2 linked regions of the Schizosaccharomyces pombe genome follow. The gene in region 1 interacts genetically with each later gene. Each region holds a gene or a part of one and is shown in the gene's direction. Other genes may lie near its edges.

What was found. Genes that interact genetically often act in the same process or in processes that back each other up.
Region 2: of eng2 (region 1) and lsb1, a mutation in one rescues a mutant of the other (synthetic rescue), as found in Schizosaccharomyces pombe (one study listed by BioGRID).

What each region holds. Positions count from the first base shown.
Region 1 is NC_003424.3:4,354,895-4,360,081, reverse strand, and holds eng2 (cell wall and ascospore endo-1,3-beta-glucanase Eng2), read left to right. Parts: upstream 1-1,889; 5' UTR 1,890-2,258; coding exon 2,259-4,379; 3' UTR 4,380-4,672; downstream 4,673-5,187. Other genes in the region: ayr1 (1-acyldihydroxyacetone phosphate reductase), read right to left, coding at 343-1,233; SWI/SNF and RSC complex subunit Arp42, read left to right, coding at 4,906-4,909, 4,986-5,187.
Region 2 is NC_003423.3:720,466-724,371, reverse strand, and holds lsb1 (SH3 domain-containing protein), read left to right. Parts: upstream 1-1,917; 5' UTR 1,918-2,028; coding exon 2,029-2,919; 3' UTR 2,920-3,365; downstream 3,366-3,906. Other genes in the region: copper chaperone Sco1, read right to left, coding at 1-613.

The sequences.
Region 1 (5,187 bases):
ATGAATTGTTGTACACTGTCATTGCACAAATCACTTGCATACTAGCTGCGCGCATGTCAAAAATATATTTAAAAGATGTTGTCCTAATATTGGATGTTCTCTGAATATCTAATGAATAAAAAAAAAGTTACTTCTTTTTTGTCTTACTTACATTTTCATTGCATCCGTTTTAATGTCATCTTTCTTTCCTAAACTCGACAATACTTTCTTCCATTTCATTTGCTTTATAAAAAAAAGTGTGACATTAAATTACAAAAAAATACATGCAACGATTTCAAAATTGATTCCAATGCCAATGTTCCAAAAAGAGAAACACATATCAGACTGCTATCAACACTGAAATTAATCAACAGTGTGGTCTCTCCATACAGCGGTTGACGGCAGTTTTACGATTAACCGTACAGACATAGAAAACACCTCGACCGGAAGCATCGAGCCAACCCTACCAGCACTGCTCATGTAACCCGCCCAAATTTGTGCAGGGCGTACACCTGGTTTGAATAATTGATACCACCTTCCACGGCCTACCAACTGAGGGTATGCAGCGTCTGCAAATTCCTCAATCGTAACAAACTTTTCTACGGGATTTCTGTTTTCCAATATTAGTTTTCTGTATGGATAGTAAATTGAATTTTCTGGAATAGCGGCTTCTGTCATAGTGCCAAGAGGCTTGCTTTGAATTTTGGTTTGCACACCGCCCGTCATAATACTAGTCACTTGGACTCCAAAGGGGGCCAGTTCTATACGCAGCGTGTTGGAATATGCCAACAAGGCAGCCTTTGAGGCGTTGTATGCTGCATTAAAGGCAAAGGGAACATAAGAGACGAGTGAATTGACGTTCACAATTGTTCCTTTAGCACGTATAAGTTGATGTTGAAACGCCTTGTTCATTCGAATTACCCCATAAAAGTTAACATCCATGACTTTACTGACATCTTCGATATCCAGGTCAATGGCTGGTGCACTACAGGGAGCTCCTGCATTGTTGATTAAATAATGAAGGGAGCCGTTGGTAAACTTGCGCACCTCTTGCTCAACCTCTCGTACCGAATCTTCATCCGTAACGTCGAGTTTTAATGTTTGAAGGCCAGCTTTTGTCAGGTTATCCATACGTTCCACCTGCCTCGCTGTTGCTAAGACTTGAAAACCCTCTTGATGAAACTTCAAGGCCAACGCATTTCCAATGCCTCCTTCACTACACCCTGTAATTAGTACAAACTTCTCAGCTTCCATAATAAATTTCTCTATCAAAATTTCCTACTACTTGGTTAAGAAAGAAACCACTTTTGAAATAGATCTTGCTAGTCGCTACAACTTTCAAGTACGTCACATTTATTAAGCACTCTCACTCTTTCCGCCGTCATGAATAATAAGCTTGAAATTCAAATGTTCCATACAGTTTGTAGGATAGTTTACAAAAAAGAAACAAGAACGAGAATGAATGAAAGAGTTTTGTTGTTGAATGGTGTTTTAATGAAATTTTGGCATTAACTGTGTTTAGAGCTTATAATCAGTGTTTGCGATCATTTTTTTTAAGCTTGCTTTTCATTTATCCTTCTTTTTATTTATTTTTATTTTTCTTTTCATTTACATTGGCTTTTTCTTTTTTTTATTTGTTTTCCAATTATTTACTATTGTTTGGCATTACTAAAAAATGTTTTGCTTACAATATCGCATTAAATTAAATCAAACAAAAACTTGCAGTATGTAAAATCAATAAATAAATATACAAAGGTTTATGCAGTATTTGCATTAATCTATTAAGTTACTTGTAAAGTTTTAATATGTTTCTTTTGTTTTTTGTTTAGATCTAATATTATAGCTTAGTCGTTGAACCAATGATACCATGAGATGGGGTTTATATCAGTTTTGAGTAGAATTTGCAACCTGTCCTCACCCTCTATCGGGTTTTAATAGTGAAAGTAATAACTACTGTTTTTAACAGTTTTTCTTCAGTACTTTTGCGTGAATTCATAAATATTTTAGGACCGGTGAATTTCTCAGCGCAGTGCTTTTATCCGTCTTTACTGTTACTTTCGCTAAGTTATTTAAGACAAATAATTGAGTGTTGTTTCATTTTTTAGTTAGTTCCAAATTTTTGAGGTGGCATACTCCTAAAACTCTCGTTAGTGTAAAACCCGTCATCGACAGTTCGAAAAAGCATCCGAAATTAGACTTTTAGAAATTTTGCTTCGATCCTTTCTTATTCTTTCACTCGTTATCAAATTTTTTTGCTCAATTCATAGTCAGACGACATAATGGATGTTTTAGTACCAATCTATACTGGACCTATCAATCCGGTTTTTCCATCAAGAGCACACCCATCTCCTCCTCTTGGGCTAACAAGTAATTTGTTTCCAATTCAAACAAACAAGTTTTATGGTAACTTGTACATTGGCACCCGTCATAATCCATCATGGTCACATCCTTACTCAGTAACTTGGCTCAATGGTAGCAGCTATTATGGACTTGCGATTTCACATATTGATGATAGCCAACGCGTGTTTGGACCAGACCCAGAATCGGTTCCATGCCAATATTACTTTAATCCTGCTGGACTTTATTCCATAATCATTTCTGCACGAGAATTTGCTTCGGGTAACCTCTTATCCCTTGACCAATCTCGTCATTTCTCTATCCAGGCTACTCTTAGCGCTACAACCTCTGGTTCAGGGACTATAATCCTACCCATTGTTGCTGGCATGGGATTTGTAAGTGGTTATTATACCAATTTGACTCCTGTATTCAATTCCTCCATCCTTTTCTCATCAATTACTAAAATAAATTTCAGTAGGGGCTACAAATATAGAATTCAATTGACAGATGGAAAGATCTGGTTTCTCTACGCATTTCCTACGAGTTCGAGCAGTACCTTCAATTTGACTCTTGCTTCGAATTCTCAACTAACTACTTCTACAAAATTTACCGGTCTCATACAAATATGTAAAGTTCCAAACGAAAGCGTGAATAATTCATATCCGGATACCATCTATGATGCTTCTGCTGGTGTATATACTACGTCTATTTCTCTATCAGCTCAAGTTAGCGGTACCACCGGGGAATATTGGTTTCGTTTCGCTACAGCTGGATATACTAACTTAAATCCGCTAATGTTTGCTCTTCCCCATCATATGCAAAGTTTTGGTTCTGACACTCAAGCGTACAAAACAGGTTTAGGCTTAGCCAGTACAACAATGGGTATAATGTTTGCCTATGCTACTAAAACTTGGCATTTAATCGAAAAAAATCTTCCAACGCAGGTAGGTTTTTTACCAATTCCTTGGAATGGTGGAAGCAATACGTATTCTCCTACTGCTTTAGCCGCGATTCGTGCAGCTTGTGCAACTGATATTAACTTCGATGTCGTAAATGCCAGTAACCTTGACTCAATGTACACGTCTGGAAAAATAGTAGCCATGTATGCTCAAGTTTGTTTGGTAGCTTCTAGAATCCTTGGTGATAGCACTCTCACTAACACTGGATTGACAAAATTGAAGCAAGCCATGGCTAGATTTACTACGAATACGCAAATGTATCCCCTCGTTTATGATACCACATATAAAGGTATCATCAGTACGGCAGGATATAGTTCTCCTTTAGCAGATTATGGTAATACCTACTATAATGACCATCATTTTCACTGGGGTTATCATATTTACGCATGTGCGGTAATTGGTCTATTGGATCCTTCCTGGCTGGTTAATGATAACATTCGCTATGTAAATGCTTTATTAAGAGACAGTGCAAATCCAAGTGAAAGTGACACCTATTTTGCTATGTTTAGAAACTTCGACTGGTTTGTTGGACATTCATGGGCAACAGGTATATTTGAAAGTGGAGACGGTAAAGATGAAGAGTCAACCTCAGAAGACTTCAACTTTCTGTATGCAACGAAATTGTGGGGTATGGTGAGAAATGATACTGTTCTTATCAACCGTGCAAACTTGATGCTCGCCGTCCTAAAGAACAGTTTAAATACCTACATATACATGACACCCACTACTTCAGTACAGCCTTCACAAATTCTCGGCAATTACGTGACAGGAATTACATTCATGAACAAAGTTGATTATGCAACTTACTTTTCAGCTGAAGAATATTGTAAACAAGGCATTCACATGATTCCAACTACGCCTATCAGCGGATACCTTCGTTCTCCATCTTACGTTCAACAAGACTGGAACGCCAAAATTGCTCCGATAATAAATACATTTTCAAACAATTGGACTGGTATTTTATGGTCCAATTATGCAATTTACGATCCAAAAACTGCATACAATACCTTTGCTGCCAGTACCTTTACTGCTGATAAAATTGATAACGGAGCTAGTAAAACCTGGTACTTAGCTATGGCTGCTGGTATGGGTGGATCACCATGATGGCAAGGGAGCTAATGAAAAACTGAAGCATTACTTTTCGTTTCAAAATTATGTAACCATTTCAAAACAACACATAGAGAGAGCTACCTATTAGCTTTTTAAAACACTATCATTTGTTTTAAAGTTTTAATGAAATACTAATACTATGAAATAGAAAACGTAGCTATTAATGCAAAAAAACTGCTTATTCAAGTTGGCTTACTTCGAAGTTTTCCATAAATATTAAAGACAGAAAATTACTTTTTCGCTTCTGCATTGTTTTAAAACATTAACTAGTTCAATGGCTTAAGAAACAAATAAATGAATATTTCTAAAGTATATGATCAAAAAAGCCGTAAATTGTAGAGTTCACTATTCACGACTACTGAACGCCTTAACACTTTCAACGATGCATTAAATTTCTTTATATAGTATTGCTATCCAACACACGAAACTAAGGTTTACGAGACTAATAATTATATAATTCCTGCATCTACTAAAAGGATATTTTATCCATTTAAAACTATACTAAACTATTTACATAGACATGGGTAAGTGCGGTTAATCAACCATAATATGTGTTGAGACGAAGACAATGGCATGAAATGGCTAATGACCATACTTTAGAGGAAATTCCGTCATTGGTAATAGATCCTGGGAGTTGTTGGACAAGATTTGGTTATGCAGGAGAAGAAAGTCCGATGACTATCTTACCTTCATATTACGGTGTTCGATCTGATGTGACTGGTCGAAATAAATATGTTGTTGATGAGTTACAAATTCATGCTCCTATCCCAGGAATGGAAGTCAAAAACGGAAAAAGTAATGG
Region 2 (3,906 bases), on another chromosome or scaffold:
AATAGACTCGGAATTTTTTACAAATATCTTTTATTTCTTCATAGGATCCTGTGAGACCAACGATTTTAGGATTGAAATCTTCAAGGTATTCAGCCATTTCTTGCGGAGGATCACGGGCTGGATCACAGGTTATGAAAATAGGATAAACCACGTCTCCAACAACATTGTTTACAATATCAATAGCTGCTGACATTTTGTCGAGCTCGTCGGGGCAAATGTCGGGGCATCTGGTGAAACCAAAGTAGATTAAGGAAAATTTTCCCTTGAAATCGTTATCAGTAACTCGATTTCCATGATGATCAATTAAAGAAAAAGCACCTCCTAATTGGGGACGACCTATGGTAGCCAAAACCTTGTCGTTTTGCCTCTCCAACACTTTTTTCTTTTCATGTTGGAAATAAGCATAAAGGCCAACGCTTGTTGCAGCTGCAAGAAGCAATGCTCTTATAGAAATCATTCCACGCCATGATTGGTATGTCTGCGTTCGATTGTCAGTAGCTAGATTTTTGCGACCGTCGGCAAAACGCGCTAGGCACGTACGATTCAAAGGAAATCGAGGACGAATCAAGCTGTAATGACAATGCCTAGAGAAAACTAAACCCCTTCGAAACATTACTTGATTTGAGTGATTGCCAACAATCGATTCAAAAATCGTAATATTTGGACAAGACAAAAAACTGAAGTTAAAACAGTAACAAAAGTATAACCAAGACTAGCAAGTTTTAAAAAAATTTAAAATCTTTTCTGTCTCTTCAAATACAAAACGGAGAAAACAATTTCTCACAAAGAATAAGCCTCTCCAAGTTAGTCCAATTTCACGTCAGTATGGGTATTTGGGTGGTAATGAAGACGTTGAAAATAGAATTTCACCAAAATTACTGCAAACATTTTAGCGTTCAAAAAAAACGTAATTTTATCGCTAATCCTTTAAAGAGTTCATATGCATATAGCCGCTTCTCCAATGCTGTAATTTCAATGTAATCTAAGTTTTAATACGAATGAAAATAGACACAAAATATGAATTTCGTCAAGGATCAGAATGACTTATAAATGAAAGAATCATTACTCAAACGGTTACTTAGCTTGTTCAAATCGCTATATTATAGTATGTGATTATTGAATATTTTTTTTTGGAAGAATAAAGACCATGCATACCGTCTATGCGGCTTTGCTGGAATTGTCAAATATACACAACTTGTGAGATTTATTTTTATTTTTGACAAATAATAAATTTCCGTTGGAAACCAATTATACTGCGCTGAGACGCATTTGTTGAGAGATTGAAAATTCAATTCACACAGCATTCTAAAGCACCAAAATCATTTTTTTAAAAGCCCAGATTTCAAGTCAGGATACAAAAATATTACTTCTACTTAGGGATGTTTTCAGGTACCTGAAGTGAGATTTGAAATTGAAAAATATCGTCTGGATAACTATACTAAGGACCTTTTTTATTTATACGAAAACACAGCTAGTGCCATGCTTTTTTGTATGTTTTTACGAATATCTGAAAGCAAAGGCTCTACATACGGCGAAATTTAATTGAGACATAACAAATGGTTAGAAATTCCTATTTCATCAAATTGTTCGATATTTTGTAGCCATACCTAGGAAAAAATTCTTTCTCAAATTTTCAATATTTTTTCCTGATACATTGAACTTGACAGTTCAAATGTTCTAAGTTAAAAATAATTCCACTTAATAACTTGCTCACATAATTCAATTTTTTGAAAAATTCTAACGAAAACTTATGGCACACAAGTTCTCATTTTACTATATAAAAGGATTTTTTTAAAAAAAATTGCATTGTTTTTCAGCCCCGGTGGAAAGCATTGGAATTTTGGCGCCACGATCTTCGTATGTTTTTTCCATATATATACCTACCAGGTATACACACCAAGCGGTAGTTGTAAACCTACCTTCCGCCATTACCACTAATCAGCAAAACTTTTAAAGATTGATAAGAATTAACTGAAATAATTTTTATTTGAGATCTTAAAGAGTTAAGTAATAAATTTCCATAGAAATATGGATCATAAAAACTACCTGAATCATGTTATTCGTGGAATCTACAACGACTTCCAATTCCTTGTTGATGAGGGCGTAGTTGAAAGGAGTGCTTTGGATTGGGTTCACGCAAATATCCATTTACAGGACGGTCCCGCTAGTCCTGTAACTGCTCCAGCTGCTCAACCTGTTGAGTCCTCAGTACCCCTTCCCTTGCCCAAGCGGAAGAGCTCTGTGGAAAAAAGAGCAGGATCGGTAGCGTCTGCCGTAGCAGCAATGTCTTTGTCTCAAAACTCTGGAGAAAAGAGGACACCCGAGGAACCTCGTAAGCTGCCTGGAGTGCCTGCCCCACAGAAGCAAAGCGAGGCTTCAAGTGTCAATTCATCTACCGAGAAGCTTCCCCCTCCTCCCAGCTATCCTGGACCCAATACTGCCCATAAGAACGTTGAGCGGGTTTTGGCGATGTACGACTTTCCTGGCCCTGATGCTGGTGATTTAGGTTTCCATGCTGGCGAAGTTATCATTGTACTTGAGCATGTCAATAACGATTGGTGGCGTGGTGAATTGAATGGAAAGGAAGGAATCTTCCCTTCTAACTATGTGCGTTTGTTGGAAGATTCTGCCGTTAAAGCTCAACCTCCTCCTCCTCCACCACAGCAAAACTATCCCCCAGCAGCATCTTCTTCGGCACCTCCCATGCAGTATCAGCAAACAGCATATCCACCTCAGCAAGCACCATATCCACCTGTCCAAGCCTATCCTCAGGCGCCTCAACAACCCATCGTGGTTGCACAACCGACCGAGCACAAGCACTCATCAACATTCAAGAAGATTGGTAGTGGTTTGGGTTCTGCATTTGTATTCGGTGCTGGTGCAACTGCTGGCGCTGATCTCGTCAATTCCATTTTTTAAATGCGAGTTCGTTTCTTTCCTTTTTCTATGCTTTTTTTCTTCCTTTATATAAGTAAAACTTTCTGTGTGGTTGAACTAGCACCTGTGTTTGTTATCGTTGGTGCGCAGTTGTTTTTTATTTTGAAATTTCCAAGTAGAAATTTCCGTATATCGCGAATGCATTTCCCTTGTTCATGTTTACTCCTTTGGTCTTTTGTCTTTTTCTCGACTATGCTTTATGCTTATAAAGCAACACCGCGGCATAGCTGCTTCTTCATAGATTGAGACACCTCATTTATGTGTATGAATTCGATATCCAAACATTGTTGCATATTCTTTATGATTATCGATGCGTACTATTAAATACGCATGTCTCTTGACTTTTGTTTATTTTTAGTGTTTTTCTTTTTACGACTTTCATACCGTTTATATTTTAATTCCATAATAAAAAAAATAAATTACAAAGCAAAAATATGATTAATAGGGAACGAATGACAGTGTATTAGATTTGTTAATATGCTATGGTAAATTGTTCTATTGCTTAACGTATATTAAAGCAAAAAATAGTAAACGGATGAGGAAGTATAAATTAGGTAGCCTTTGTTAGAGATTTAATTACGATGTCCGGTCAGAATCGTTTCCATTAAGCAATAAAAAAGAATCGACGTGGAAATCCCATGAATGTAAAGACTCACATTATTAAAATGGGAAGATAAAGTAAAAACTGGAGACAGCGAATGTCCAACAAAAATGGAAGATGTATGAATAATGATGAATCAAATTCGGTAACACGTTGATGGGGATTCCAAGAGAAAGTAGCAGAATTTCAAAAAAAAAAGAGAACGACAATAAAAATGAACCTTTGTTTAAAAATAAAAGAAGTCAACACACAATAAAGAATAATGAGACTATGAACAGAAATGAAACTCAAGGGAGAATTGTTATAAAAAGCGTCTGAAAGCACTGGGGAATGAATGAAAGGACTAAATTTGTTTTAATTTTTTTTCT